4 linked regions of the Astyanax mexicanus genome follow. Each later gene encodes a partner of the first gene's protein in a complex. Links are inferred from orthologs where the notes say so. Each region holds a gene or a part of one and is shown on either strand. Other genes may lie near its edges.

Region 1 (7,360 bases):
GGACAGCAAAATACATTTCCATGACTTTGGGAACACCCCAGGTACTGTAGGTCCAAAACATGGGATGCCTATCCCTATACACACGCCCAACACAATCCCACTGATTCTGCGGTGAATGTGCAGGTAATATATAATTCACAAAGGCTTTTAATGACATTGTGACCATTTATCTGGGCAAACTCTGAGTTTTGTCAGCTTGCAACAATATATATATAGTACCAGTCAAAAGTTTAATGAACAGGTATGAAATTATGTAGTAAACAGTAAAAACTCAGGTGTTGGTTTGGTGGGCATTGAGCTAGAGCTTCACAGCAGGAAGTAAAAGCAGCAACTATAGTTCAGCACCTCCAGGAACTCCTTTAAGATGCTGAGAACTATTCCAGGTGACTCTACCTCATGAAGACACTGAGATTAAAATACCAAGATAGATAATAAAATACCAAGATAATGGAATACAAAAAGTGTGCAGATCTGTCCTTAAATAAATGTTACTGAGAAGAATCTAAAGTATAAAACATATTCTGTATTGATTAGAACTTTTTGTTCGGCATGAGCTCCTGTATAGTTTTAATGTCGATTTTAAATTTACAATGTAAAAAATCATAAAAAGAAGAAATAAACGCATTGAGTGAGAAAAGGCGTGTCCAAACTTTTGACTGGTACTGTAAATATTTGTGTTATTTATTTAGTCATTTATGTGTTTAAGAGTATTTTACAAGGCCTAAGTACGTCGGATTTTTTTTTTATTTCAGAATATGCTTAAGGATGTTGATTACAACACATTTCTATGGTTTTTGGGCGTAATAGTGAATACATGTTCTATATTTGCCAGTGCTGAATTGATGTTTGTGGGCTGTTTAGGGGGAGGAGTCAACAAAGATGTTCTTTTAACTCGTTTAATTTTCGATTTGCAAAGCTCTTTGGGAAGAAAAACTTACAGAACTGGCTCAATCTTTTCTCATATCATGCATTAGTTTGTTTGTTATTCGGTAAGTTTGATGTTTTTTGGGAAACGCACCCTATAGATGCTTGGGGCGGGAACAAGAAAAGTAAATACAGGGAGTTCACAGTAAAAACTGATTGAAAAGCACTTTGAAAGATGATTTTTATTTTTATTTGATTAGATAATTGATTGATGGGTAATGAACAAATTGGAAGATTTTGATATATTAATCATAGCCACATTTTATTATTTAACATTGAATTGTGTTAATATAAGGCATTTTTGTTACTCGTCTTTAAAGGTACAGTAAATTTTTTATACAGATAAGTTTTTTTTTATTCACTCTGTGACTGCTACAGAAGGAAAGACTTTGCCCTCACAACATTCCAATATTAAAGATTCAGACATTTATATTGTTAGGTACACTACCGTTCAAAAGTTTGGGGTCACTCAAACAATTTTGTGTTTTCCATGAAAAGTCACACTTATTCACCACCATACGTTGTGAAATGAATAGAAAATAGAGTCAAGACATTGACAAGGTTAGAAATAATGATTTGTATTTGAAATAACATTGTTTTTACATCAAACTTTGCTTTCATCAAAGAATCCTCCATTTGCAGCAATTACAGCACTGCACACCTTTGGCATTCTAGCTGTTGATTTGTTGAGGTAAGCTGGAGAAATTGCACCCCACGCTTCTAGAAGCAGCTCCCACAAGTTGGATTGGTTGGATGGGCACTTCTGGCGTACCATACGGTCAAGCTGCTCCCACAACAGCTCAATGGGGTTCAGATCTGGTGACTGCGCTGGCCACTCCATTACCAATAGAATACCAGTTGCCTGCTTCTGCTGTAAATAGTTCTTGCACAATTTGGAGGTGTGTTTAGGGTCATTGTCCTGTTGTAGGACGAAATTGGCTCCGATCAGGTGCTGTCCACTGGGTATGGCATGGCATTGCAAAATGGAGTGATAGCCTTCCTTATTCAGAATCCCTTTTACCCTGTACAAATCTCCCACCTTACCAGCACCAAAGCAACCCCAGACCATCACATTACCTCCACCATGCTTAACAGATGGCGTCAGGCATTCTTCCAGCATCTTTTCATTTGTTCTGCGTCTCACAAACGTTCTTCTTTGTGATCCAAACACCTCAAACTTGGATTCATCCTACCACAACACTTTTTTCCAGTCTTCCTCTGTCCAATGTCTGTGTTCTTTTGCCCATCTTAATCTTTTTCTTTTATTAGCCAGTCTCAGATATGGCTTTTTCTTTGCCACTCTGCCCTGAAGCCCAAAATCCTGCAGCCGCCTCTTCACTGTAGATGTTGACACTGGTGTTTTGCGGGTACTATTTAATGAAGATGCCAGTTGGGGACCTGTGAAGCGTCTGTTTCTCAAACTAGAGACTCTAATGTACTTATCTTCTTGCTTAGTTGTGCAACGCGGCCTCCCACTTCTTTTTCTACTCTGGTTAGAGCCTGTTTGTGCTGTCCTCTGAAGGGAGTAGTACACACCGTTGTAGGAAATCTTCAATTTCTTAGCAATTTCTCGCATGGAATAGCCTTCATTTCTAAGAACAAGAATAGACTGTCGAGTTTCAGATGAAAGTTCTCTTTTTCTGGCCATTTTGAGCGTTTAATTAACCCCACAAATGTGATGCTCCAGAAACTCAATCTGCTCAAAGGAAGGTCAGTTTTGTAGCTTCTGTAATGAGCTAGACTGTTTTCAGGTGTGTGAACATGATTGCACAAGGGTTTTCTAATCATCAATTAGCCTTCTGAGCCAATGAGCAAACACATTGTACCATTAGAACACTGGAGTGATAGTTGCTGGAAATGGGCCTCTATACACCTATGTAGATATTGCACCAAAACCAGACATTTGCAGCTAGAATAGTCATTTACCACATTAGCAATGTACAGAGTGTATTTGTTTAAAGTTAGGACTAGTTTAAAGTTATCTTCATTGAAAAGTACAGTGCTTTTCCTTCAAAAATAAGGACGTTTCAATGTGACCCCAAACTTTTGAACGGTAGTGTATATAATTCATTTTCTTATTACAAAAACTACTTATTGCACCTTTAAAGCTCCACTAGGTAGGATGGAGATTTTGTGCTCGTGGGCTCCCCCTACAGTTGTAGAGTGTAATAAATGTTTCAGGTGATTAGTTTCTCTTTCTTGTTTTCACAGACATATTCGGTCTCTTTCCAGCTTGTGCCAGAGTGTGTGTATGTTAGTTTGTAAAGAATTAACCACTAGTCCTTGTAGAACTGTTAGAATTAAAGTTCAGAAAGCAGGTCGCAGTTCTCGGAAAACTTACAGAGTCTGGTTTAAGCTCAGAGGATCCCGGCACAGACACGCACCTCAATGCAGCACTGCAGTGAGTTTCAAGCTGTAATTTTACTTCTTTAAAAAGATGAAAAATCAAGGAAATCCTACCTAGTGCTGCTTTAAGTCACTGTTGCAATCCATTAAAATTAGATTTTATAAAAGCTACTGTTTATGAAACAAATCAGTTCATATACAAATCTATTATTAATTCAAAAGCATTTTTATCAACCCTTTTTTTTACGCTCTGGTGCATAGCGGTCACTACAGTGGAAAGCTGTTTAAATGATATTTTCTCCTAAACGCAGTGATTTCTATGGTGGAATTGCATATCAGCCCTTAGAATGTTCTCTACTGCCCCCTTCCATTGAGGTTCATTCACTGGTTAATTGTTGTAACTACAAGTGAGCATCACTGGAATCCAAGATGGGTGGCAGACAGACATTGTTGACCATTACTGAAATATCCTGTCAATCCTTATATTATAGAAGAACCCTATTTGGTTACCATTCAATAAATTTTGGGTATATCTATAAATTATTATTATTTTTTTTTTTTGCAGATAAGTTGTACTTTGTGTTGATCTTTTTTTGAAAAATATCTTTTTGTCATTTTTGGTTGCAATTCCATTCATTTTAGGCTTGCCACCTTTTCTAGCACACAATGTAATATGTGCTCATGGATGTATAATAAAACTCAGATCGATTCATTCTTCCATTAAGTTTAAACTGTTAATGTTGGGTGCTTAATCGCATGTATTCCACTGTGGTGGTCTGTACATTCCTGAAAAAAAAAAAAAAAAAAAACATTTTTGAGGAAAAAAGACAAAAAAAGAATATTGACTCTACTGATTGACAAGAAAGGCCCTTTGGCTATCTTCATTCTGTCACTGAAAGGAGAATGCTGTGATTGGTTGAATCCATCTCTAGTCCAGCCCTATTTGTGATTAAACAACAAATCCCGAGCGGCTTCCTGTGCGCTGGTCGGTTTTACCGGCTTCTGAATGGCTGATTAATCTGTCACTCATTGCCAAGCCTCAGCCTATTGGTGGACTGGGTCCTGCTAGGTAAAAACCCCGCCCAGTATTCCTCTGCAGCCTTGCGAACAGAACATCTTCAGAGGAGAGAGAACACAGTAAAAGTAAGAGCTGTCTGTCTGTTTTAACCGGTTTAACAGCTGCGGTTTTATCGTGCTTCTGCTTCAGGTTTAATTTAACTGTTACTGAGCTTTAAATTATCTCCGTAAACGGCTTACAGCACAGCTAAGACTAAGACTAAGACTGAGACTGAGACTGACTGGGCTCCAGGCTAACTGTAGCACATTAGGCTAGTCCAGAGTTAGCAGGTTTTCCCGGCTGTGGGAGTTTAAACAGGTCAGGAAAGTGACCGGTAACCGCTTTAACCAGAGCTCAGATATACCCGCTCCCTCTCAGCCGCTGCCGCTTTACACAGTTCAGCCCTTTTTAAGGTTATCTTCAGGCCACAGCATTTAATTTTACATGGCAAGTTTGAGGCTAGCTGGCAGGCTAACTGCTATACCCATAACAATGTGTGCGTGACCCGTGTTACAGCAGAACGCTGCACTGTGTGTATGGTATGGCTATGACAACATTTCTATTTAACACACGTTTAGTTAAGCTACGTTAGCTTAACTACTTAACTCTAGCTGCATTAGTTATGGCTAAAATACGTTTGGGCAAACCACAAAGGTTACAGCATGTGAAGACTTAAAAGTGTCTATCTGTTTAATAAATCGTTCCCTCAATTTAACAGGTTCGTTTTTCTCAAGTTTTAATATTGTCCTTTTCATATACTAAACTGTTTTCTTAATTTAATAAATTGTTCTGTCAGTATAACAAATCCTTCCCTTGATTCATCAATCTGTTTCTCTCAGTTCTAATAAATTGTTTTCTCAGCTAAAATATGTTCCATTAATTCAGTAGGTTAAATAATTCCTTTGATTACAAAATCTCTTCCCTCAGCTGAACTGAAAATCCAGTTCATTCCTCATTATTTTAAAGAAAAGTGGCGGTACAGTGCTTATTTACTATTCGTTTCTATGCATTAGGTATGGCTAAAAAAGCATTATGACAAAACACATAGGTTACATTATAAAGGTACTTACAGTGCTTTCTTTGTTTAATTAATTCTTTCCTAAATTAAGCCATCTGTTTTTCTTATCAATTTAATAAACAATTCTTTCAATTTAGTAAGTTGTTCCTTTAATGTAAAGAATTTCCTAAATTTGATCATTTATTCCCTTAATGTAAAGAAAATAAGAATTCCCTCGATTTAACTATATTTTCCCTCAATTAGATAAACTATTCCCTCAATGTAATAAAGAATGACCTTGATTTAACAATCTGTTCCCTTAATTTAATAAAATGTACCCTAAGCTTAATAATTTGCTCTGTCAATTTAGTAAACGTTTACTCTATTAGCAAAACAAAATCTGCCCCCTTAATTTAATAAGTTCTTCAAGTGTCCCCTCAGAGTCACTGATTTATAAAATTACGTTATTAAATTAAATTCCAGACCAATATATTTAAAGGTATGTTGATCGTTTCATTGCTTTAAAGGTGATATGCATTGGTTTTTCTGAATATTTGAATATGTGTAACGTGTAGATTTCACTGCATTAATTCTCTACCACATACATGGGATCTTGGATCTGCAAATAAGACGAGTATCTTTGGTCAGCAATTTTTCTTTGAGATTTTCATTTAAAGTTATTATAGGCCGAACTATAATTTTGGTGAACGATAAATGGCTGATGGAAAGAACACCTAACCCAAGTTGTTCATACATGCATAACAAACAAAATGTTTCTTCTTGTCTTCCCGTTTTTGCAGAGACCGCAGGTAGCGGTACTTCTGCTGCCAGCATGTCGGGCACAGCTACAGTGCTGCAGCAGTTCGTGAGTGGCCTCAAGAGTCGGAATGAGGACACAAGGGCCAAAGCTGCTAAAGACCTCCAGCATTATGTCACTACAGAGCTGAGAGAAGTATGGAACAGTATAAATGCAACTGTTGCTTAAAAGTCTGTTGTTGCGAATAATGAAAGCAAAATGGGGGTAAAATATGAGGCGATGTGTAATGTTTTGGCTACACTAGCATATTTGTTTTGTAGAATTCTGTTGAAATTGGTCTAAGCTATCGTATACTAACCCTCGTCACCTCTGTGTTCTTTACATTAAAGTTAAGCCAAGATGAAGCCACCACTTTCTATGATGAGCTGAATCACCACATATTTGAGCTGGTCTCCAGCTCTGATGTAAATGAGAAAAAGGGCGGTATTCTTGCTATTGGTGAGTATGACTTCATTCTTTTGACAATCCATTGCACTTAGTACAGTGTTATGCACAGTTTATGGACACTCATCTCATACAGGAATATTATTGCTATGTTGGTCAGTCAGTTATTTACTTTAACTGTTATTTTCTCATGCAGATTGAGTGTACAACATATATGTATTGTACATTTCACATTTGGTGACAACAGAAGCTTTCAGAATTACAAATACAGGGTAGAGAAAGACCGATAAATCTGTTTGGGGACGATTTCATTTATCGATTGTCTTTCAGCTCAATATCAATCTTTAGCTGGGCCAAATGCCACATTAATACCGCTGAGAAGCCAGGCAAACTTGGTACAGATTCCCCTGATTATGGCCACCTCTAAGCAAACATTGGAAATACAACCTGACTGTAAATAAATGGATTTATATGTGCATAAAATAGTTTTAGTTTTATATTTGTTTTTGTTTACTTAGACACCAATTCTGCAGGAATGGGTATCCTAACATGCCTGTTTTCTGGCGTTATCTTACTTCTTAAAATAACCTACATTTACTGTAAAAAAATATAACTAAAAATCTGAATATGATTGTTTTAGCTTTTTGACTCCTGCAGCTGCTGTACTTCTGCAGCGTTTGGTGGTGTGTGTGGTTAGCTAGTTAGCTCTGCTACTCACTGATTTGGCTGTAATATTACTGTGGAGAGCGGTATTATCCGGTTAGTGGAGTTAACATCTTTATTCTGTTCCACCACGAGGCACGTTAGTCCTACACATATAAACTGTAGAAACCCA
Region 2 (7,604 bases), on another chromosome or scaffold:
TATATATATATATATATATATATATATATATATATATATATATATATATATATATATATATATATATATATATATATAGCAACTCTAAAAGCACACAAACACCATTATTAATTACGTAGATGTATTAAGTAAATAAATATGGGCCGAGAAAATATAAAAAAAGTGACTAAATGGGACCACATTAAATAAATTGCCCTGATAGGATAAAAGGTTGTCCTCATTTTTTTTTATTAATTTAAGCTGCGTTTGCAGATTAAAAAAATATATATATTAGTCATTATGTATAACAACTAATAATTGTTATAATTTTTGGTTTCACATGATAAAACTGGGGAAAACTTACAAAGTGAAAAAAAAAAAAAAGTATTTGAACCGGTGTAATATTATTTTTAACACTTTAAACATTTAGATTTACTGCAGTTTTAACTGCGTTGAATCAGTGAGGTTTGATAGGTCATACTGTTTCAAGGGGAGAGATGAAGACAGACATTCCTTTGGTTAATTTGTAAAATTAAAGTAGCTGGTTCATTATTTGCAACGATTGTTTCAGAAAATTCATTGCAGGACAGCTAGATGGCTGCACCACTAGGAAGAACCTTCTAAATGCAATTCAAAGCAGATTACTACAGCAATGTTTTTAAATCACTAAATACACAGTAATTCTTCAAGATATGGAAAATCTAGAAAAGGATACTTGGAATCAGGAAGCCCTTTTTTACCGTACGCCCACTCTGACTCGATTTCCAACTGTGCAGTCTCACCTTTACTCATGGTCAGGAGACCTTCATCCCACTGCAAGTGATTTGGAGAATATCATCAGTATAATGGATCAGATAAGCATCCACATATTGAAACGTTTTCCACAATGACTAAAAACTTACCCCTCTGATAACTTTGCCCAACCCGACTTTAAAAGACAGTGGTTTGGACTGTTTCTTCTTTCTTGCAGCTGCAAAGATGATAGTGACCCATTATTAATCTTCCACTGTCATGCTCCCAAGGAAATTATTTATTTTCTGAATTTACAATAACTGAAAAAATATCTGTATGTCACATTTAATAATAAATCAAGCTACTACACAGTAATTATGCTTTAGACAGTGAAAATGTGTTTGTGTTTAAGCTGAAACTTATTTATACTTGTCAACAATGCATGTATTTTACCCAGGGTGCCCAATTTTATAATTTAAGACTGGGCATATAATACGTATACATGTCTGCGGAAAATTGTGAAGGCATACTTGTAGGGATGTTGGTGTCGAAGACGGTGCCATCCTCAAGTGTGCCAGTGTACCAACATGCTACTGTATCACCCTTTTTAGGGAAGTTGGTCTTGTCTCCTTTCTTTAGCACTGCCTTTGTGAACTTGGGGGGACCCTGTTCAGCAAAAAAACAACTACTTATAATAGGAATAAATATGTTCATGATTACATTACAATTAACCTTTTGTAACAGTTAATAGTATTCTGTTAATCTGTGTTTTAACAATTTCAGTATGTTTTGTGCTCAAGCACAATACCTCATCCACAACTTCTGTCTTTGATTCTTTGGGCGCATCATCAATTTTTACAGCTTTCACGTCCTCAGTCACTTGCTCCACTTCTGTGCCTTTAAACCTCTGCAATTGACAACAGAAATAGATGGCGTGGTCATCTTTAGCCAGTAAAACATTATACAGTTCTTAATTACATTTTAAAAGATAAATGCCACAACCAAGCTGAAAACAGGAAAGAAAAAGTTTAATAATCCCTACCTGATTAGGAATCCAGAATAAAATTGTACTTTTCATTGTTTGCTTGATGTTTTAATTCTGCAGTGTCCACTCTGTAGTGTTTGTGGGTTTCACAGTTCTATGCAACTCGCAATTAAAAAAATATTCGGCAGACAATTTAGATAAAACTGCCCCTGCATCTAGAAATTAAAAAAAAAATGGTACTTAAATAAGCAGCTTTAGGTTTTAGATTGTCTGTAAATAAATATACAAGAAATATATACTGACCATTTAAAAGGATCAATACATCTCTAACATACAATGAACCGTTTCTACAGCTGTGTTAAGGGTTTTGTACAGTTCTGCCTGGCTAAATTCAATGTACTTTCATCACATTTCAGCAGACTGCCCACAGCAATAATGGCTTAGCTGGTCTCTTTAAGTGTAGATTATGCTTACCTTACTTTCGAAGAGCTGGTTGTAAGCTACAATGAGCTGTTCCTTCTTTGCAGTCTTTGCAACATTCTTAATATTTCCCATAAGCTTGTGCTCGGCAAGAAACTGAAAACACAAAGAAACATGCTGCATTAAAACCAGCACACTGCATTAAAACCTGCACACTGCATTAAAACCCGCACACTGCATTAAAACCTGCATACTGCATTAGAACCTCCCCACTGCATTGCAACCTGTGAACTGCATTGAAACCTGCATACTGCATTAGTACCTCCCCACTGCATTAGAACCTGCACACTGCATTAAAAATATTAGCCATACAAACTCTTATTTCGGGGGAAATATCATGCTGAAGCAGTACAGGATTGTAATATTGTTTTTACAGTAGGATAATGCAGTAGGGGGCTCTCCTCAGTCAGCTATGAAGTCAGCAGTGTGGATCTGCTGGGGCTGCTGGTAGCTCATTAGACAGCATGCAGCAGCAGCTAATGCTATCCGGCTGCGGTGGAGCTGCTTCACAGTTTAAGGTCCTGAGTCGAGTTTCCGGGTCTGGGTCTAAGAGCTGCGTACCGAGTGACAGGCGTTGTCCTGGATGAACTTGATCAGATCTTTTTTAGGAACATCTTCTCCTTTCAGTGTCTCATCGCTCCACTCTCGTGTGGGTTCAGCAGCCATTTTCCCCAAACTTCGCGACCTCTCACTCCCCGCGTGGGGCCGTATCAGCCAATCAGAGCGCTTTATGACCCTCCGCGCCTCAGGACCGGTGTTCTGTCGAGTTATGCTACCCATCGATATGTGCTTCTCAACAGCACTGCGCATGCGCCAACCCACATTTTTTATGTTTTCATGTTTTTTATGATAAATCCGTTTTCCTTGGGGGCATCAAACCACCTGCTTGAATGTTACAAACTGTAAATGGCAATTAAAAATAATAATAATAATAATAATAAACTATAAAAAAACCTACAGTTATATAACCATAAATTTACCTGATACAGTAATTTAGCCTATCCCAACATCCAACACTTCCTATTCCGGGAGCATTTTCTAATATGGTCCTTTTTGTATTTTTACTTTTAAATATACACTAGGGTAGCACGGTTTGACAAGGTTGCCCAACCCGTCAGAACAATGGCCACTCTCACCTGCTGCGCATCACTTCAAACACTGGCTAGTGTTATATAGTGCTGGATGTTAATCTACACAGATGTCTCTGTTTATTTGGGTGAGTAAAGCGCTTCTGTTTATTTAGTTTGGAACAAAATACCTTCCACTACCAGATCAGGAGAATCTCTCGCTATCTTTAAAAAAACTCCTGAAGACAGAGCTCTTCAAAGAGCACTTACTCTCCTAACACCTCTAACTACTTCTAACCTCATTTTCTTTCTCCCCTCCTTCACTTCTCTATCCCATTATTTCCCTTCGACCTCCTTTAAGCCCTATCTAAAAATGTTTTATCTTTAACTTCTATTACTTTTGTACTTGACTATTGTAAGTCACTTTGGACAAAAGTGTCTGCCAAATGTAATGTAATGTAATGTAACTTACAGTAAGCTTAGATTTCTGAATTTCTCAAGCACTAAGGCTGGAGCATTGACATTAGCGTCTAACCACTAGCAATTAGCGGCCAATGCCGCCCGACAGCACTACACTGAGGAACCTCGAGTGCTCCAGTAAGCCATTGAGTCTGATATACTCCCCTCTAAACAGTAAAAGAGGCAGCATGGTTAGCGGCTAATGCTGCTCCAGCAGTGCTACCTGGGGTTAGAAACAGGCTACAGGTTGATAATACCCACCTTTGAACGGCTAAAGTGCTAGCTCTTAGCAAGGCTAGCCAGTAATGCTAATGCTGCTCCAGCAGTGCTAGTCGGGATTAGGAGCAGGCTACAGACAGATAATACCAACCTCTAAACTGGGACATAGCAATTAGCGGCTAATGATAATACTGCTCCAGTCCTGGTGCTAGAGAACTAAACTGAGACTCCTGTATAACGCTGTACTTCAGTGGAGTAGTGGTAAACTTGACTGGTAAAATTCATACATAAGGTGCACTGAATTAAAAGATGCACTGACGATTTTCGGGAAAAGTAAAGGATTTTAATTGCGCCTTACAGTGCGAAAAATACGGTAATTTAATTGATTGCAGGTCACATGAAATATATACAAGTATAAATGATTTTTAGCAGAACTACTTATCAAACACTTGGCTGACATATATACGGTAACTCTATGTATGAGAAATACTTGCTGTTTGGCGACGTGATTGCGTAGATGACCAAGAGCATTCCTAATGTTATTGGCTGTGTGCTACACATGTTACCAGAGGCTTCCACTAGAGGGCAGCTCAGACGTCTGATGAATGCTGGACAGAACACCCACCAACTCCATCCTTTTTTCGTTTTTTGGACATTTTCTGCCATGGGTAGATGTAGAGGTCTTAGTGCACATATCCATGTAAACAGCTTAATTCACAATACACCTGGTGATCTATGCAAACGTATGGCCAAACAGCAACTATATTTAGCCTTAATTTCAGAAGGAAATGCACAACTAGTGCTCCAAATGAATGCAGGAGACACATAACACTGGATTATAGGGTGCATTTTAAGCAGCACTTGTTAAAACAGGAGTGTTGCCATGTTTCCTTTTAATTCAGCAGGTCTCTCCGCTGGGGAGCAATATGATAGGCTTAATTAAACAAAACTGTCATTTTAATTAGCAGTAGACTTCACTCTGATCTACTCACCTCTGAACGGCCAAAAAGCTAGCGCTTAGCAGGCAATGCTAATACTTGTCTGATAAGTGTAATAAGCTAATTAGGTTTAGTTTCAGACCAAACTGTAGCTGTTTTCTCTATTCTCTGACACAATGCATAGAAGTGCATTGTTCATTTCACCAGTGGTCCATTATTGGTTTGCTGTTGGGTACCTGTCCACCAACACTGATCTATAGTATGCATACCTAGGTTGTGCTTGAGGTACCACAGGTCCTTAGTATGACTAGCCTATAAAGACTTCTTCTCAGTAGCCTCTTGTTCAAACACATTACAGTGTAAGGAGGCTTTGTGGCAGTGTTACCTGTAAACATCACATAATGACACTGAGGCATCTTGTGAAACTCATCTATTTTTCATTTCTTTACAGATATCATTTTGATACTATAAATAGTATTAAAAACTTTTAAAATGGTATCTTCTTTGGAGACTTTGTTTTCCACCATTTTTCATTGTGATGTTTTAATTTCCTTTCACATTGGCTGTGAAGAATACATTGTAGGGCTTTGAGCTGAATTAATGTTTTGTGAAAATTGTTATAATATGAGTTATCATGACATACACTTCAAAAAGTTGTGATATCACCTTGAATAAAAGCTAACTGCTAATTGCCTGCATGCACCTACACACTGCTGTTTTCTCATGACATAACTAGGCTGGATGCAGAGTGAAGTAAAACCTTAAAGGAGCCAAAACTAATGTATTAACTCAAATATATTAATTCTTGTCTTTCAAATATCGCACAGGATGCATTTCCTGCTGTACAAGGGTTAATTCAGTTTGCAACAACCTTTTATTATGTAGTGATCTTGCAATGCAGCCCACCATTAAAATACAGCTTTTGTCTGACTATCTAGTTACTTCAGACTGGACCAGAGTGTGATTAATCAGTGAAATCTCGAGCGAGAGTTTTGTAAAGTGTACTTTATCAGCAGAGGTTGTTTTGGAAGGGGTTCATTAAAGATGGGAAAGAAAATAAAAATGTGATTTGAGATTCAGTGTAGTTTGGCTCAATTTTAAATATATTGCTCCAAAATATATCAAGTGACGTAGCTTTAATACCTAAAAAAGTGACATTTTCATGGATACATTTGAATAAAACACATAGGAGAAATCTCTGCCCTTGTGATTTTTACTTAAGCCTAATTTACACTCCCTTACACTTCCTTTCTGTAATGGTTTACTTAATTCAATCCCCCCAGCAGGACTGCTGCCTCATCAAGTTACAAAAGTGGAACACTTTTTTACTAATTTCACCAGGGGATCCTCATTAAAGCTAGCAGTACATGATCATACCTTTTGTTTGCTGTAAGCAACTGAAATGCAGTGAAATGTGTTAAAATTGCATTGTGGTTTAATTGTTTCACCTTAATGTCTTTTTATTTATTTTAAAGATGAATCATTTTACAGTGGGCAATTTGAATTCTAAAGGTAATCTGTTCCTAATTCTGCCTTTACAAAATGTCACCTTGGCTGATATTGTATATACATACTGATGTGGTGGGGCAAATTATTTAGTTTTTTAGTTTTTATACTATATTAAAACATTTGAGATAAAAATATCAATTCAAGATTATATATCAGAAATATTTAAACCATAATCCATTCAGATGGTCTTTAAACTTAAAAAAAAAAATCTTCAAAAACTTTAATCTGGCCTTCTGGCCTTGAATTCTCCAAACACTTATGCCAGTCACAATATGTCTCTAGTCACACCTCTGCTCTGATTATTGTAAATGAAAAAAAGGTACAGCCCACTTGTTTTGTGATGATGTTGCAAGGCCACAACACTTGGGGGCAGTAGATACACATGAAGTTTTAGCTCATAAAAATGTTTTTACTGTGGAATCACCATCTGAAGAGTGAGAGGAGCTAATCTTCATTTTCTTGAGTGAACATTAAACTGAATCACTCATCAGTGTTTATGATGACACTTCTAGAAAAAGAACAGGGAGCAGCTTTCTGGTGTTCCGTGTCAGATCTTCCAACAAATGCATTTCTTCCCAGTTCAGTTTATCGGAACACAGGTCACTGTCTTCAGTGAACCTTGGAAGAGATTTGGAACAAATTTTGTCATACTCCAGTGGTTCTGCAGAAAAACAACGCAATGTGTGGATTCAGCGACATCTGACCTTGACCTCGTGACTCTAACTCGATCAACTTGCCAGTGTTGAGCTTCTGAAGCTGAGTGCATTGCTGTGTGCCAGCCCCTCCTTAAGTCTTCAGAAAGTGAGGTTGGAAAATTAGCATTAAAAATTCATTATCTCAATTAATTACCACCATGTGGTTCACTAAGAGGTAGAAATACGAACACCCCAGGGTCTAGAGGTGAACAGCAGGTCTATAATAAATTTGGACTAAACCAAGCTATTACAAACAAACCTGAAGGGAGCAGAGTGTAATTTTCTATGGGCGATTTCTGGTGTTTACACAAGTTGTTTAGAAGTGATTTACTAGCATGCATATGGCTTGAAATTTGTGCAAACACTTGTAATATGGTAATATGTTCAGGGATTTGCCTCTGAAAACTTAGCTTGTGTATGCCCAGGCTGGGGAAATCGTTTATTTTTGCTTTGCTTTGGAAGTTGATTTTGAATGAAAGAAACTGTGTGCCTGCAAACGCAAAGTAATTACGTGAAGTACTGAATCTAGAGCAGTTAAAAG
Region 3 (7,741 bases), on another chromosome or scaffold:
GGAGCATGTGTGCCTGCCTGCGAAAAAGAAAAATATTCAACATTTAATTTTATGAAATGTTCATACTTATTATAAATGCCCAATTTTAGTTCGGGTCATCCGACACTAGCTGCTTTATAAAAAAAAAAAGAAAAAAAAAAGTATGAAGATGGGCATCATACCTATTGGTAGACACTTACCCCTAGCCATTATTAAATGTGCATTATTAACAAAGAAGCTTGTCATATTCTATTATGATCTGTGTTCAAAATGTCAAAGGATCATTATCTTAATGCTCAAGTGATGCCAAGTTTGTTCTTCTTCAAGAATACATGACACAAGAGTTGTCATTATAATACTTTAGAAAAACTTTAGCCAAGCGATTTGGGGAGCTAAGGCTTATGAACATTCCATTGTATTACTCCACACTTTTTACAAAGGTTGTGAAAGGTCAGATCAGATAACCTTAAAGGTCAAGTCAACTTCTGGTTTTCAGATGCTAAAAACAGAAATCCAACACTTCTAGCACTGAATCACAACCATAGTTTGTTATAAACAATGCAAAGCACTCAAAATAGAATAGAATACAATGCAGGTAACTGGCACTTGTTGAACTACAAAAAATAAAGCAGCATTACAGTACTTTTACATCACTGCCAAAAAACAAATGCACACTTCAAGCATAACTTAAAAACTGATAGACACAGCCCAAATTTCTGAGGCAAAATATCATCCAGAACTAGCAAGCCAGAATAAGAGCATATTTTGGAGTCAATATATATTAATATAATTATTATAAACATTCATAACCCAATAATTCAGTTTTGAAAGCAAACAAATATTAATTAATTATTAAAACTTGTTTAACTAAAACTTGGAAAATGTGCACACAACAGATGATGCACTCTTACAACAGCTCACGCCCAGAGACAACATGACAACAAGCGTTAGCTAGCCTAGCTAGCAGCTGTTAGCTTAAAATACATATGCAAGTTCACAGGCTTGCTTTAACTAAGAGCCCAGTGGTTAGCTGGCTATCTTTATTTTGTATTTTTATTACATTTAACGTTATTGTCTTTATTAACAGTTTTTTTAGCCTTGTTCCTAATACTGCTAAGATTAGAAAGCTAAAACAGCAGGCTGGCTAGCTAGCTTTGCTAACTAGCTACTAGGCAAACAGCTGAATGTGAAACTGAATGTAGCTAACTGAACTCATCAGTTGGTGTGTGTTAACGTTTGATCTACACGTTTGTCCAGTTTCCCAGCTGAACGTCCCCTCAACTTTTTTAACCTACAGGTCCAACATGCACACAAACAAATGTAGCGAGCTAATGCGGGTAAGTTAGCTAGCTTTGGGACAAATAGCAAGATGTGAGACTGTGCTAGCGCTGGGTGGTTAGCTAGAGTTAGTTAGCTAGCTTATCGGGGTGTTTAGAAGACCAGGCCGAGGAAGTAGAAAGCAAACAAAGGGTTTTGTACCTAGATAACTAACTATCTAACTTAACTAACTACTAACTGCCTGAATAACTCTGTGTATAGTTGAGGCAGCTGGTAACCTAGCTAGTTAGCTTACAAAATCCTGGGAAGGAGTTTTAGCTACTTCACTCAAAACTTAAGGTTAACTAGCTAGATAACTAGATATACAGCTAAACAACACACTGGTTAGAAAGATAGGGTTAACTAAGTTAACCCACGCTAGCGTTAAATAACAACTGCTAGCAAACAACGCTATTTTATCTACATCAAGCCTACACCAAGCCAAGCCACTAGATGAGCTAGTTAGCTAGTTCATCTTTTTTTGTAAACAAATGTTAGCTATGGCTGCCTAGTTACGGCTTAAAACACAGCTACTAGCTAACCTAGCTAGGTTAGCTAATGCTAGTTTTAAGTTAACAGGGCTTGGTCTTATGCTATTTAGCAAACTAGCTAGCTAACGGTAGCTATATTAACTTGTGTACTGACCCAGCATTGCTAGCTAGATACCAACTGCCTGGATGACTGTGTACAGTTGAGGCAGCTGGTAACCTAGCTGTTATAGCTTACAGGAGTTTTAGCTACTTTTGACATGGATTTGGCAGCTAAGTTTCTTTTGGGGTAAAGGTTAACTAGCTAGCTAACTGCATATAACTACAGATAAACATATATGTTAGCTACACAACACATTAGTTACATGGTTAGGGTTAACTAACTTAACCCTGCTAATCACGTTAAATAACAGCTGCTAGCTAGCTAGGTTATTTACACCAAGCCTCCAGCAGAACCGCCCAGTAAGTTGTAGTTAACTAACCAAAAGGTAGGTAAGGGTATCTATTAACAAAGTCCTGGGATGTTTTTGTAGCGTAGGTAACCCATGTAACTTAACTTAACGTTACTCTGTGGACCTGGATTAGTTAGCTTATTTACCCATATTTAGAAGAGGAACACGCTCACACAAAGCCACTAGATTAGCTAATCTAGCTAGCTAGCTAGCTACTAAAATTGCTGACATTTTTTGGTAAACAAATGTTAGCTATGGCTGCCTAGTTACAGCTTAAAACACAGCCACTAGCTAGCTAGGATTGCTAGCTAGCTTCTAGATAACAGGGCTTGGTCTAACGCTATTTGGCAAGCCTATCTAGCTAGCTACTTGTCTACTGACCAAGCCTAGCTAGCTAGCCAGTTAGCTAGCTAAACAAACCAATGTTAGCTAACGTAGATTACCTTCATGCATTCCCAGACCGACTGCTGAATATATCCACACTCTGTAACAGCAGGAGTACAGCCATAGCTGCTAAACGCCTCGTCCCATCGCCTCTCATGTGTATCATATACTCTCAGTAATAATACAGCATTTCCTCTGTTGTTATCACAGCTAATGGTAGGGGCTAGCTATTTCCGTCAAGTTTACCCTCGTACAGGAAGTGTAATGCATCAACGAGACGCGCAGGAACGCCCTCTGGGGAGCACGAGAAAAGCCCACCCTACTGTACTGTACTGTACTGTAGCTACTTCACTACACACTACTGAAGTGTACAGTAAGCTTGCTGCACTGCACTGCTGCTGATAGTGATGTAACAGTGCTGCACGTGGGCTCCACTTCTCATTTGATGTTTTCTTTCATTTTATGCTCATTCCAATGTCCAGCTCATCATAAATCACCCATCTCAGTTATGTTTAGGTCCAGAGACTGTGGAGGACAAACACCTTTTTCATTTCTTTAATATTAATATACAATGTAGAAAATACATGAAATAAAGAAATTAAAAAAACATATTCAGTGTCCAAAGTTTTAACTGGTAGCTACTCAACACTACTCTCTCAACACTGATAGCTGTCTAAAATGTATGCAGCTCTTGGAAAATAAGAGACCACGTCAGTTTCTGAATATGTTTCTCTGATTTTGCTATTTATAGGTAAATGTTTGAGTAAAATGAACGTTGTTGCTTTATTCTATAAACTACAGACAACATTTCTCCCAAATTCCAAATAAAAATATTGTCATTTAGAGCATTTGCAGAAAATTAGAAATGGCTGTAATAACAAAAAAGATGCAGAGCTTTCAGACCTCAAATAATGCAAAGAAAACAAGTTCATATTCATAAAATTTTCAGAAATTCAGAAATCAATATTTGGTAGAATAACCCTGGTTTTTAATCACAGTTTTTTGCATCCTTGCATGTTCTCCACCTACAGTTATTAAACAAATGGCACCCATTAAATCCCCATTAAAACCTAAATTAAATCTCTTTTAAAATAATTTAAATCATTTGAAGTAAACAATCATATTTTTACATTTATTAACTTAAATTATTCACTTTATTTTGATAGTTTTGCATATGTGCATACAATTTTGTTTCACAGTCAAGATTTCCTATGATGGCTGAAATAAGTCATTGCATTTATTTAGCTATTTTTGTTTTATTATTCCCTAATATTTAAATAATAACAGAAAATATACACATATAAACTGTTTAGACCACAAAACAGGCTAAATACAAGGCAGGAATAATGTTCCATGTAATGTTCCATAATTATTATTTGGATGTTAAAAACTCAAAAACTGAGTTTGAAAATCATGGTTAGTCCTGGCAAATCTTACAATTGACTTCAAAAACAGATATTACATGAATTGAAAGATATTATGTGAAAGCATATAATTTTTTTTTTTACTTCCCATGGTTACTTTTGAACTCGCCTCATCTGTAGAGCCGCTGAATGGACAGCAGAGGGTGCTGTTGCTTTAAGCTACTACAGCGCCTTGCACAGGCTCATGTGTCTGGATTACAAGTGACATTTGTGATGGGTCAGGTTTATTTTACAGATTGTCTGTTTGACTGTTTGACAGATCTGTATTAATATATCAAATATGTTATTTCTAATCCGAACAAAAAGCCTGAATAGTGTTATATGCATAAAAAAATAAAATATATTCACAGAAAAATAATTATTTAACTCTATTTTAATAAACTTCTTTAGCTAAGTCTGCTATGTTCTGGTCTGATCATAAACTGTGGGCTTTTAGACATATTTCTGATTAGATATGTGCTTTTTGAGGGCTTCTCACTACTGTGTGTTACATCATAGTTTTCTATATCACCAATTCACCCGCAGAGGAACTACCATCACCATGCTTTATGTCCAGTCCAAACCTAACAGTCCTCATTCAGTTCATCAAAAACTTGTGAAGGCAGTTATTGTGAGGGTGGAACAGGTGGAATAGGTTTCGAGAGGGCTGTGTTTGGTGGCAGGGGTGGAAAAGTCAGAAGCAATACGTTCTGCAATTAAAAAATATATTGTGGAGCCACACTATCATTCAGTGAAAGTCAGAAATCGTGGACATTTATTTATTATTTATTTTGTGACTGATGAATTGTAGATTAATATTACACCAGGATAAATAGCTTTTTTTATGAACAATGTCATTTTGCAATGATCTGATGTTCTTTGTGTTTTTTTAAGTAGAAACAATATGATTAAATGCTTGGAAACTTAACTCAATAACACGAGAAAAAGAGGAAAATCTAATTTTGTCTCTCAGGTGTAAAGAGTAATTAGGATGAGGTATTGTTTTCTCTTGGATATTTATTTGAATAAATGTTTCTAATAAAACAAATACCCAAGTATTGTGTCAAATGTCTAAAATAATCCTGTAAAATATAGAATTGGAGGTACAATCATTCAAGTGTAGAACTACAATAAATTGCATCCTTAGGTTTGTTTCTTGTGTGATCTTCTCAGACCTGTACTGATCAGATGTTTCCTGGCAGTGAGTATAAAATATATTACCCTGCTCAGGAGCTGCTCAGAGGACAATATCACTCTATACACACTCTCAACACTACACTGGTGTGACACAGTGGTGAGTACATTTATGATATCTTAATGCTGTTAGATCTCTCCACTGTGAACTCCAGCTGAGTTCAGCTTTATCTGAGCCGGCTTCTGCAGATCTCATTTACACCGTTTAACACAGTAAATATTCCCAGAGGAAAGAATGGTTCCAAATGAGGAGCTCCTCTTAATCTGATTTACTCCTCCCAGATTTTGTTAACTCCTGTTTTAAATCAGTGGGGGACAATTTCTTTTTCTGGTCGGCTCTTGAGAAACAGCCTGTTTTTCACTTTGATCACAAACTTGTCTCAGATATTTCCAACTGATCTCACTCCGACTCAGACAAATAAAACTATTAGATGTATTCCTGTATAACGGAAATAGAGCAGGGTCCTGTATAAACTGGCATGCCAAAAATCATGTGATGGGCATAATGTATATATATTTGTATAAGTTGTGAGGTCTCATCTTGTAAGTGAGGTTGAACACTGACCAGTGTGCTTGTGGGAGGATGGATAGGTCAGTGTAACATTGTTTATTCAATATTCATTTTAAACACCATTATGAAATAGCAACCTGTTTGCTGTTTTTGATTTTTTAAACAAGAAATCAGTGTCAAGTCAAGTCAAGTAGTTTTATTGTCAATACTGCATATGTACACTACATACAAAGAATTGAAATGATGTTACTCTCCTTCCCAATTTTACAGCAAGTACAGATAATAGATATAATAAAAGAGAATGGGAGACACTATGGGTACAATACAGCAGGGACACAAATATACATACATGAGACAAAAACAAGGTGCAGTGGTGTGGGGGAGAAATAGATATATAAATATAAGTAAAAAAAAGAAATAGATATATAATATAAAAGAGACATTATATGTACAATACAACAAGACACAATAAACATACGGAAGACGGAAGACAATAGTGCAATATTGGTGGTGATTGAGATGGAATGACAGTATAAATAGTATATAACAGTAGTGCAATATTTTATATTGCAAATATGGTATATGGTCACATGTGTAACAAGGGACCAGCGAAGTCTGGCTAGAATGGTAAAAAATAAGAGCCCACTTAAAAATGATGAGTTTCTTCTATTTTACCACATTTAAAAACCTCAGGAATATAATCAAAATATAAACCAATGTGAACTGCTTGAATTTTTGCAACAGAAGTGGCATAAAATTATCCAAAAGCAGTGTGTAAAACTGGTGGAGGAGAAAATGCCAAGATGCATTAAAACTGTGATTAAAATCCAGGGTTATTCCACCAATTATTGATTTCTGAAATCTTAGAACTTTATGAATATGAACTTATTTTCTTTGCATTATTTTGAATTTAGGTCTGAAAGCACTGCATCTTTTTTGTTATTTCAGCCATTTCAAATTTTCTGCATATACATGCTCCAAATTACAATATTTTTACTTGGAATTTGGGAGAAATGTTGTTCGTAGTTTATAGAATAAAACAACAATGTTCATTTTACTCAAACATATAATTATAAGTAGCAAAATCAGAGAAACTGATTCCGAAACTGAAGCAGTCTCTCTATGTTTTCCAGAGCTGTATATGCTTCAGGTCAGTGCAGTGTTCTTTAGCTTCCATAGGACATGGCTAAAGTAAAGAGGTACAGAACTAGTCCTATGAAATTTGGCACTTGCTAATTGATTGTTTGTTCTGAAATCGTAAGTTTATAAAAAGAGTTTTTTCATGCTTTTGTTGGATTGCCTCTACTCTCTACTGTCCAGGGAAGGATTTCTATTATATATATATTTTTTAATATTGCTGTGATGATTTTGTTGAATTCAGTGACTAGAGCTTTAGTGAGGTCAGTACCTTGGATGATCTCAACCTGATTCCAACTCATCTTCAACTCCCCAAAATTATCCCAGATGTTTTGGATGGAGCACCATCATTCAATGCTTGAGGGCTTTATACCCTTCTAACCACGTACTCAATCATGGGATTAGGCATTGTTAAGCCAGGAGGTTCACATTTACAGTTCTTATCTGGGGTGCTGTTAACTTGTGGTTGCTAAGGCTGGTAACTCTGATGAACTTATCCTGTGCCACAGAGATAACTCTTGCTCTTCCTTTCCTGTGGCAGTCCTGATTAGAGCCAGTTTCATCATAACATTTTTGATGATCTTTGTGACTGCACTAGAGGATACTTTAGTTTTTTCTTGATATAATATGGATTAAAACATTAATCAAATACTGCATACCAACTCTACCTCTTCACAACTTTACAACTGATGCTCTCAAACACTTTAAGAGGACAAGAAATTCTAATAATTAACTCCTGAAAGGTTCAGCACAGCTGTTAACTGAAAGCCTGAATTTCAGGTGACTCTACCTCATAAAACTGACTGAGAAAATCCACCCAAGATGTGCAAAACTGTCATCTATGCAGGAGGTGCCTATACTTTTAAAATAAATCAG
Region 4 (7,064 bases), on another chromosome or scaffold:
TAAATAATTTGCACATTATGGGTCTATATTTATATGTTTTATAAAGCTGTTTTTTATATTCCAGATGTTGGATCTGAACGATTCACTTTCAGCTTTACTATTAAAGACTCCCTAGACCATTGCATTAATGTGTCTTCATGGGGCAAAGAGGATTATGTTCAAGGACTTTGCAGCCGGATCAGAATTGGAGATTGTGGTGAGACACAGCTTGAAATTATTTTAATTGTTCAGTTTTATATTACTGCATATTGCAAGACAGCATGTAACTAAAACTCAGCTTTTATTATTTTTCTTCTTTTGTTCAGTTGTCATTGAGAATCCACTTGTTGTTAACAAAGATCCTGAGAGAGAAGACCGATTCTGTCCTTCAACCTCAAGGTAAAATAATTGGACTATGTATTGGACAGAACATAGCTCATGATACAAGCATGACAATATAATTAGATATTTAAAAATCAAATTATAGGAAAAATGTCACAGTATAATAAACACCATTATTTGTATACCTCTTGAGTTTTTTTTTACTTGAACCAGCATAAAATACACATTTACACACTGCCATAATTCCAGTGTCTCTGCTGTGCTGAGAATGAGTTCATGACCAATGAATAAACAGGATAATAAAGTATGCAGATAATCAGAAAGACTACAACCTGTAATTATAGAACTACAAATTGCTCCCATATGTATAGTGGAGCTGAAAGATTAGCCAGTAGGGGTTCAGATTAGACAGAGAGTATAGAAACAAGGAGGTGGCATAATATATATATTTTTAAAACTATATCATGAATAGTTAATAGTGTATACTCATACATTATTTTCATTATGGTTTATACCTGACACAGAGTGTCACACTGGTGAAAACAGTTTGTAAAGAAACATGCAACAAAAATACCAATATACTTCGTTAAAATATTCAAAACAAATTCATTTGTCCACAGTTTTTACAGATTGCTGGTGACAGAAACTCATTCAGCCATAAGGATGTGTTCAGATTTAGAAACAGAGACCAGGCTCCTGTCTCTTTTCCACATACCAATAAAGGATTCAAGAGACTTCTATTCACTGGGAGACATTACTGCAAATGGGCAAAGCCTCAATGGAAGTTTCATTAACATTCTTGCTGCTGTGCGATCGGTAGGAAACTAACTAACTGTATGGAAATCACTAACTGATAAAACCATATGTTTTGTGTATCAAGCTTTTAATTTCTTTTGTTAAGGTCGGAGAGCAGAAGTTCTTTACTACTTCAGCAGGAAGAAATGGTCAGAGGCTAGAGATAAAGCTGTTTGATGAAACTTTGGCTTCCTTCCCTCTTGTATGGTATTGAATGTCTCTTGTATATCCAGAATATTTTTTTATTTCCTATTTTCATCCTCTTCATACTAATGCCCTATTTCTTAGCTGGGATCGAGAGACAATTCAGCTTCTACAGGCACTAACACCACGAGAGACAGGTAGGGTCATTCGCAGCAGTAAAATCAACATTTTACTGCAGCATTTTTTTGTGACAAGATTAAGAGATGTGTATTTTTACAATTAGTGCTGTTCATCGCGGATGCTCGCACCAGCTTTGATGGATTTCGTAACAGCATGTTGGCAACAGCCACCTCAAAAACAATCATTACCATTAATCCTGGTAAGAATGTGATTGTACCCCAAACTTCTCCAATCAAACTTTCATTCTTAACCAGTGGATGTTCTCGTCTCTGTGAGATTTAATCTTAGTTAATTGTTCTTTTCCATGTATAGATACAACTGAAGCCAACCAGCTGTTTAATTACGCAAGGGAAATATCTGACAGTGGACGACTAGATGAGCAAGAGAGTGATAATGTCCCTTGTATGTATTCATTGCTTTATATCATGTGTCTTGTCTTCCATCTCAAGTTTCTAATTCCAACAGTTAGTTTTCAATATTTACAGCCTTGGCTGGATGAGATTGTCAGCAGGACCTTTCTGTTGATTGCATGGATTAGCTGGGTTTTAGTGGAATTTAAACTGCACTTACTGCTGAAATATTACACTTACTGTACAAACTGTAAACTCAATAAAGGCAGTCTAAGACAAATCTCCAAATTTGAATATATACATCTATTTTATTTCCTAGTGGAATCCATTAATGAGGTGATGACAGTGAAACAAATCAAAGCCAAAATCCAAGACAGCTCAGATGTCTTCCATGGTGTGATCTATGCATTCTTTACAACTCTAGGATTAGATTCCTCCATGTCCAAACTTATTTGCAGCAGGTGGTAAGTATAAAATGCAGATAGCCCAACACAGTCCTGTTCTCTGACACCACATGTTATGTTCACAACATGAATGAACCACTGATCTATTTGTCTTTATGTTTTAGCACCAAATGCAGGTTCCAAGTCAGTGAGGAAATTGGGGCCTGCAGTAACATGGCATGTCCTAGTCAAGGACAACCACTGGAAGCCTCTCTAGACTTCAGCCTGCTGGTTAATATCAGTGATCACACTGGAACACTGAAGGGCTGTTCTCTGACAGGCACAGCTGCTGAGAAAACACTGGGTTGCACAGTAAGTAAAAACAAGCAAATTAAAAATTAAAATCCATTAAAAACGTTTGAGATGAGTTGTAGATGTGCTGGTGTTTTCTCCCTGAATGCAGTCAGATCCTCAAAGCAATTCTTCAAAATGTAGTAGAAAGATTCCTGCACAATTTAGGCAGTTAGGCCAACAAAAGCAGGACAAACCTGGTTTTGGAAAAAACATTGAATGAGCAGCATTCGTAAGGTCAGGATATTGGATGATTACCACCCCACCCTTTAAAAAAATAATTTAATGTTAATTAATTGAGTACAAATGAGTATCTTTATTTAATAAAGGTTATTCCTGCTGTATGAAAAAGAAAGTAAGTTTATGTGAAGTTTATGTGATTTTAAGTGCATGCCAGATAGCAAAAGGTGTCCCAGGTGTTAAGAAAAAACACTGAAATCTTTTTTTATATATAATATGAAAACAGATCATTTCTAAAAGCAAACTTTATTATACTTTTAGTCGGAGGAGTTTATGTGCTTCCCAGAGCCTCATCGAATGACCATGAAGTGGAGATTTCTGCTGGAGAGATGCAAAATTTATCTGAAGGTATAAGATACTATTTAAAAATGTACAGTAAATATTTTGTCATAAGTAGTACCTGTAATTTGATGTACTATATTTATATTTACTCTAGTTAAAATAGTGATATACAATTTGTATTATTGAACCATAAACAAGTTGGATAGTGAATGTTGTGTTATTGTAACTAGAATATCGATCTAGATAGAAATTGAGAAGTTGAGTGAATGTATTATATATTTTTATTAGGTTTTATCGAAGAAAACTGGCACAAGGGCACATATCCTTTCTTGTACACTTGCTGATCCAGTGGAAGTAAAGCAAAGCATGTCAGCCCTGACCATCTGAGTGTGTAACCTGACTGATGGGGAGCAAGGAAAATTAAAACAACAGTTGCAATGTTTTGAGTGAGGGTTCAGATTAAATGCATATTTTGCGTGAAATGAGGAAAGTGTTCAACAAGTGGTGAAATATTTATCATAATTTAGATAATTTATGGATATAGTTTGTGTTATATATTTGTGTATTTATGAAATGTGTTTATTTCACAGTTATACATTTATATATAATTTTACATATTTTCACAGTTATTACATTAATTACATAATTTCACAGTTATTACATTTATATGGATTAATGTAATATTTAGTGTGTAAGTAAAAGGGAGGGATATTTCTCGTATTTAATTTGCTTTTTTGTAAAAAAAAAATACTGTTTTATATTTGTGTTCTCTGTAGAAAAAAAAAAATCACAATGTTATGTTATTATTGTTGGGTTTAATGCTAATAAATATCACATGCTCATGCTCTGTGATTCATATGACACCCTTACTACCACCATCACTGTATTTAGTTAACGAAACCATACTATTTTTTTTTTACTAATAATTGGTAGCTATTTTAAAACTCTATACAGACCCAATAATTTATCTGTAAACGCAGCTGTTGTTGCCCTTGCTCTACTCGGAACTATTGAACGCTCTCAGTGTTTCAGTGGGGATGTTTTTTAGCGGGGAGTCCTTTGGTTGCCCATGTAAATAATGTGGATTTAGCGACTGGATTTTTATTATTATCAGTAATTTATTGAACTCGGAGTGGTCGTGATCTGCTGACAGGTAAGACTGAGTTTTATTCATTAATCTCCTTTAACCCTAAAGTAGATATTTATCTGTCTGTGGTTCATTTACTGCGACCTTCATGCTAACTTTAGCTTCATGCTTCAACCGTTACTCCAGCTAGTGTCTAAATCCTAGCGAAATTCCCACTAAAGCAGAACACATTACGTATATTTGCTTAATTCTCCAGTGTCAGAATCTCTACAGTAAAGGTGTTGTGTTTTTGTAGTGGTGGTGTGTTTTTTTCTGCGGTACGGACACTGACAGAGCTGGCACTGGATGGTGTTTAATATTATCAGTGGTCCGCAGGTCAGGACTGGGTCCACACTGTTCTCTCTGCAGGTCTGATCATGAATGTGAACCAGGGCACGGTCGGCAGTGACCCGGTGATCCTCGCCACCGCTGGATATGATCACACAGTCCGGTTCTGGCAGGCCCACAGCGGCATCTGCACCAGAACCGTCCAGCACCAGGACTCTGTATCCTTTCAGTCTGACAACAACATACTGTATATTAAAACTGTCACCAAATTTATGATTGTGTTTATATGTGAACACGTGTATAATTTGTGTAATAAGCCTGAAATATATATATATATATATATATATATATATATATATATATATATATATATATATATATATATATATATATATATTTTTTTTTTTTTTTTTATTGTAGATTAATATTAAAGACATGAAAACAATTAGGGACACATATGGAATTATGTAGTAAACAAAAACCTGGTGACTCCTTCAAGACGCTGAGAAAATACCAAGAGTGTGCAAATCTGTCATCAAAGCTAAATGTGGCTACTTAGTAAAATCTAAAGAAAATAACATTCACTTTTTGCTCACAGAATAATTAATATTTTCCTGTATAGCTTTAATGTCTTAAAATTTACGATAAAAAAGTCATAAAAAGTAAGAAAACACATGGAATGAGAAGATCAACTGTTCTTGAACTTATACTTAAAATTAAATAATATTGGGCTGATATATTCTGTCTCTGGTTGTGACTATTGTACATGCTTACATTGTGTAGGCAATGCTGAAATGATATATTGTAAAGCCCTGCTTTTAGGCATTTTAAAAACTCTTATCACAGGAAAAACTAATTATCCCTGCAATCAAAGTGTTTTTGGCTTAGACATTTTTGAACTGATGTTAACAAACTTAAATAAAGTAGCAAAAAAATCATTTAAGTCACCTGCAGGATTTAAACTTGCCCAAAACCAAACTAACTTAGTTGACAACCACACATCAATATGGATAGTGTCACTTGTGGTAGCTATTCCAAATAATCAATTCTTGATACTATGTTTTTTTTTTAATATGTCATGATGCTGGGAAAAAATATATATATGTGTATATATATATGTATATATATATTATTTAGTTCATATTTACTTTGACTCCAACATCAGCAGGTAAACTCACTAGAGGTAACGCCAGATAGGAGCATGATTGCAGCAGCTGGTGAGTCATAAATACATACATTTTCAGATTACATCTAATTAACAAATTAGATTGAATAGACGTTTTCATTGTGAGTTTTCTCCCTTCAGGTTATCAGCACATACGCATGTATGACCTAAATTCCAACAATCCGAACCCAGTAATTAATTACGATGGTGTTAGCAAAAATATTACGTCAGTCGGCTTCCATGAGGACGGGAGATGGATGTACACTGGAGGAGAGGACTGCATGGCACGTATTTGGGATCTCAGGTGATACAGAGCTGCTACTGGTTTACACATGAGACATTAAATATAAGTCTTTAATATAACCTGACACTCACTATTTTCACTTAGGTCAAGAAATCTGCAGTGTCAAAGGATCTTCCAGGTCAATGCACCTATTAACTGTGTGTGCCTGCATCCTAACCAAGTAAGAATTATTTAAGTACACTTTGTGTAAATGAAATAACTGAATCTGGTGGTACATTTGCTGGCTTGTGATGGCTTTATCCTCTAGAGGGAGGTAAAGATTTGTTCATTTTTTTATTTGTGTGCATTTTAAATCATTTTTAAAGGCTGAATTGTTTGTTGGGGACCAAAGCGGTGTGATCCACATCTGGGATCTTAAAACAGACCACAATGAGCAGCTCATCCCAGAGCCTGAGGTGTCTGTAAACTCTGTGCACATTGATCCTGATGCTAGCTACATGGCTGCTGTCAACAGTTCGGTCAGTATTTGTTTCGTACTCTATTCTCAGCCACACATTCTGATAATTCTTATTTAACACATCTAGTGGTTTTGGTATTAAAAGCCAAAGTTTATGTTGTTGCCTCCCACAGGGCAACTGTTATGTGTGGAACTTGGCAGGAGGAATTGGTGATGAAGTGACACAGCTTATTCCCAAGACTAAAATCCCTGCTCACAAGCGTTATTCCTTGCGCTGTAAATTTAGTCCAGACTCCACGTAAGAACAGCCCCAATAATAGTATAATAATGTTTTAGCAATACAAATACATGTAGGCCAGTTAATTTGATAAAACTAATTCTAATTCTGTTATAGATTGCTGGCTACATGCTCTGCTGATCAGACTTGTAAGATCTGGAGGACCTCCAACTTCTCACTGATGACAGAGCTGAGCATCAAGAGCAACAACCCTGGAGAGACGTCTCGCGGATGGATGTGGGACTGTGCTTTTTCTGGAGACTCACAGTACATTGTCACTGGTGAGTGAATGGAATACACCAAATAGGTTTTGGTAACAAATAGGACTTGTTGGGTCTGAAAAAACATGCATGTTGGGCTGGGCAATGACTCAAACTTAATGAACAGAACCTCTAACCTTGCCTAGATTAATTATTTTAAGTTTTTAAAATTCTGTTAACATGATGGACGTATTTAAATCC

Evidence for each region.
Region 2: the proteins of mtor (region 1) and fkbp3 are in contact, whole or in part, in a crystal structure (PDB 5GPG), measured with the Homo sapiens proteins. The link is inferred for Astyanax mexicanus from reciprocal best matches to the Homo sapiens genes MTOR and FKBP3. Residues at the interface, in NP_001373429.1 of Homo sapiens: Glu2032, Tyr2038, Phe2039, Gly2040, Arg2042, Tyr2088, Val2094, Leu2097, Tyr2105, His2106, Arg2109; in NP_002004.1 of Homo sapiens: Lys160, Pro161, Leu162, Ser163, Lys170, Tyr198, Lys201, Gly202, Gln203, Pro204, Asp205, Ala206.
Region 3: mtor (region 1) and mapkap1 share a complex: the UniProt entries of both Homo sapiens proteins name them as parts of the mechanistic target of rapamycin complex. The link is inferred for Astyanax mexicanus from reciprocal best matches to the Homo sapiens genes MTOR and MAPKAP1.
Region 4: the proteins of mtor (region 1) and mlst8 are in contact, whole or in part, in a crystal structure (PDB 4JSV), measured with the Homo sapiens proteins. The link is inferred for Astyanax mexicanus from reciprocal best matches to the Homo sapiens genes MTOR and MLST8. Residues at the interface, in NP_001373429.1 of Homo sapiens: Leu2269, Arg2270, Met2271, Ala2272, Pro2273, Asp2274, His2277, Leu2278, Thr2279, Leu2280, Met2281, Gln2282, Val2284, Glu2285, Val2286, Glu2288, His2289, Asn2292, Asn2293, Glu2536; in NP_001186102.1 of Homo sapiens: Tyr20, His22, Asp42, Ser43, Gln44, Val45, Asn46, Tyr62, Asn87, Glu105, Gln148, Thr174, Arg221, Tyr222, Leu224, Ser268, Arg270, Gly271, Trp272, Trp274, Ser290, Lys313, Val316.

Annotation. Positions count from the first base shown.
Region 1 is NC_064419.1:17,748,951-17,756,310, forward strand, and holds the start of mtor (serine/threonine-protein kinase mTOR), read left to right. Parts: upstream 1-4,348; 5' UTR 4,349-4,413; intron 4,414-6,124; 5' UTR 6,125-6,156; coding exon 6,157-6,276; intron 6,277-6,470; coding exon 6,471-6,579; intron 6,580-7,360. UniProt on the Homo sapiens protein: Serine/threonine protein kinase which is a central regulator of cellular metabolism, growth and survival in response to hormones, growth factors, nutrients, energy and stress signals.
Region 2 is NC_064408.1:73,543,661-73,551,264, forward strand, and holds the start of fkbp3 (peptidyl-prolyl cis-trans isomerase FKBP3), read right to left. Parts: upstream 3,002-7,604; 5' UTR 2,987-3,001; coding exon 2,738-2,986; intron 2,273-2,737; coding exon 2,171-2,272; intron 1,619-2,170; coding exon 1,520-1,618; intron 1,378-1,519; coding exon 1,242-1,377; intron 950-1,241; coding exon 882-949; intron 793-881; coding exon 695-792; intron 1-694. UniProt on the Homo sapiens protein: FK506- and rapamycin-binding proteins (FKBPs) constitute a family of receptors for the two immunosuppressants which inhibit T-cell proliferation by arresting two distinct cytoplasmic signal transmission pathways. PPIases accelerate the folding of proteins.
Region 3 is NC_064408.1:21,740,484-21,748,224, forward strand, and holds the start of mapkap1 (target of rapamycin complex 2 subunit MAPKAP1), read right to left. Parts: upstream 3,013-7,741; 5' UTR 2,680-3,012; intron 18-2,679; 5' UTR 1-17. UniProt on the Homo sapiens protein: Component of the mechanistic target of rapamycin complex 2 (mTORC2), which transduces signals from growth factors to pathways involved in proliferation, cytoskeletal organization, lipogenesis and anabolic output.
Region 4 is NC_064422.1:24,571,841-24,578,904, reverse strand, and holds the start of mlst8 (target of rapamycin complex subunit lst8), read left to right. Parts: upstream 1-4,058; 5' UTR 4,059-4,199; intron 4,200-4,498; exon of another isoform or gene 4,499-4,541; 5' UTR 4,542-4,549; coding exon 4,550-4,678; intron 4,679-5,625; coding exon 5,626-5,677; intron 5,678-5,766; coding exon 5,767-5,929; intron 5,930-6,013; coding exon 6,014-6,089; intron 6,090-6,234; coding exon 6,235-6,387; intron 6,388-6,499; coding exon 6,500-6,624; intron 6,625-6,720; coding exon 6,721-6,884; intron 6,885-7,064. Other genes in the region: meiob (meiosis-specific with OB domain-containing protein), read left to right, coding at 65-196, 306-378, 942-1,137, 1,223-1,323, 1,405-1,457, 1,544-1,639, 1,753-1,842, 2,110-2,254 and 3 more.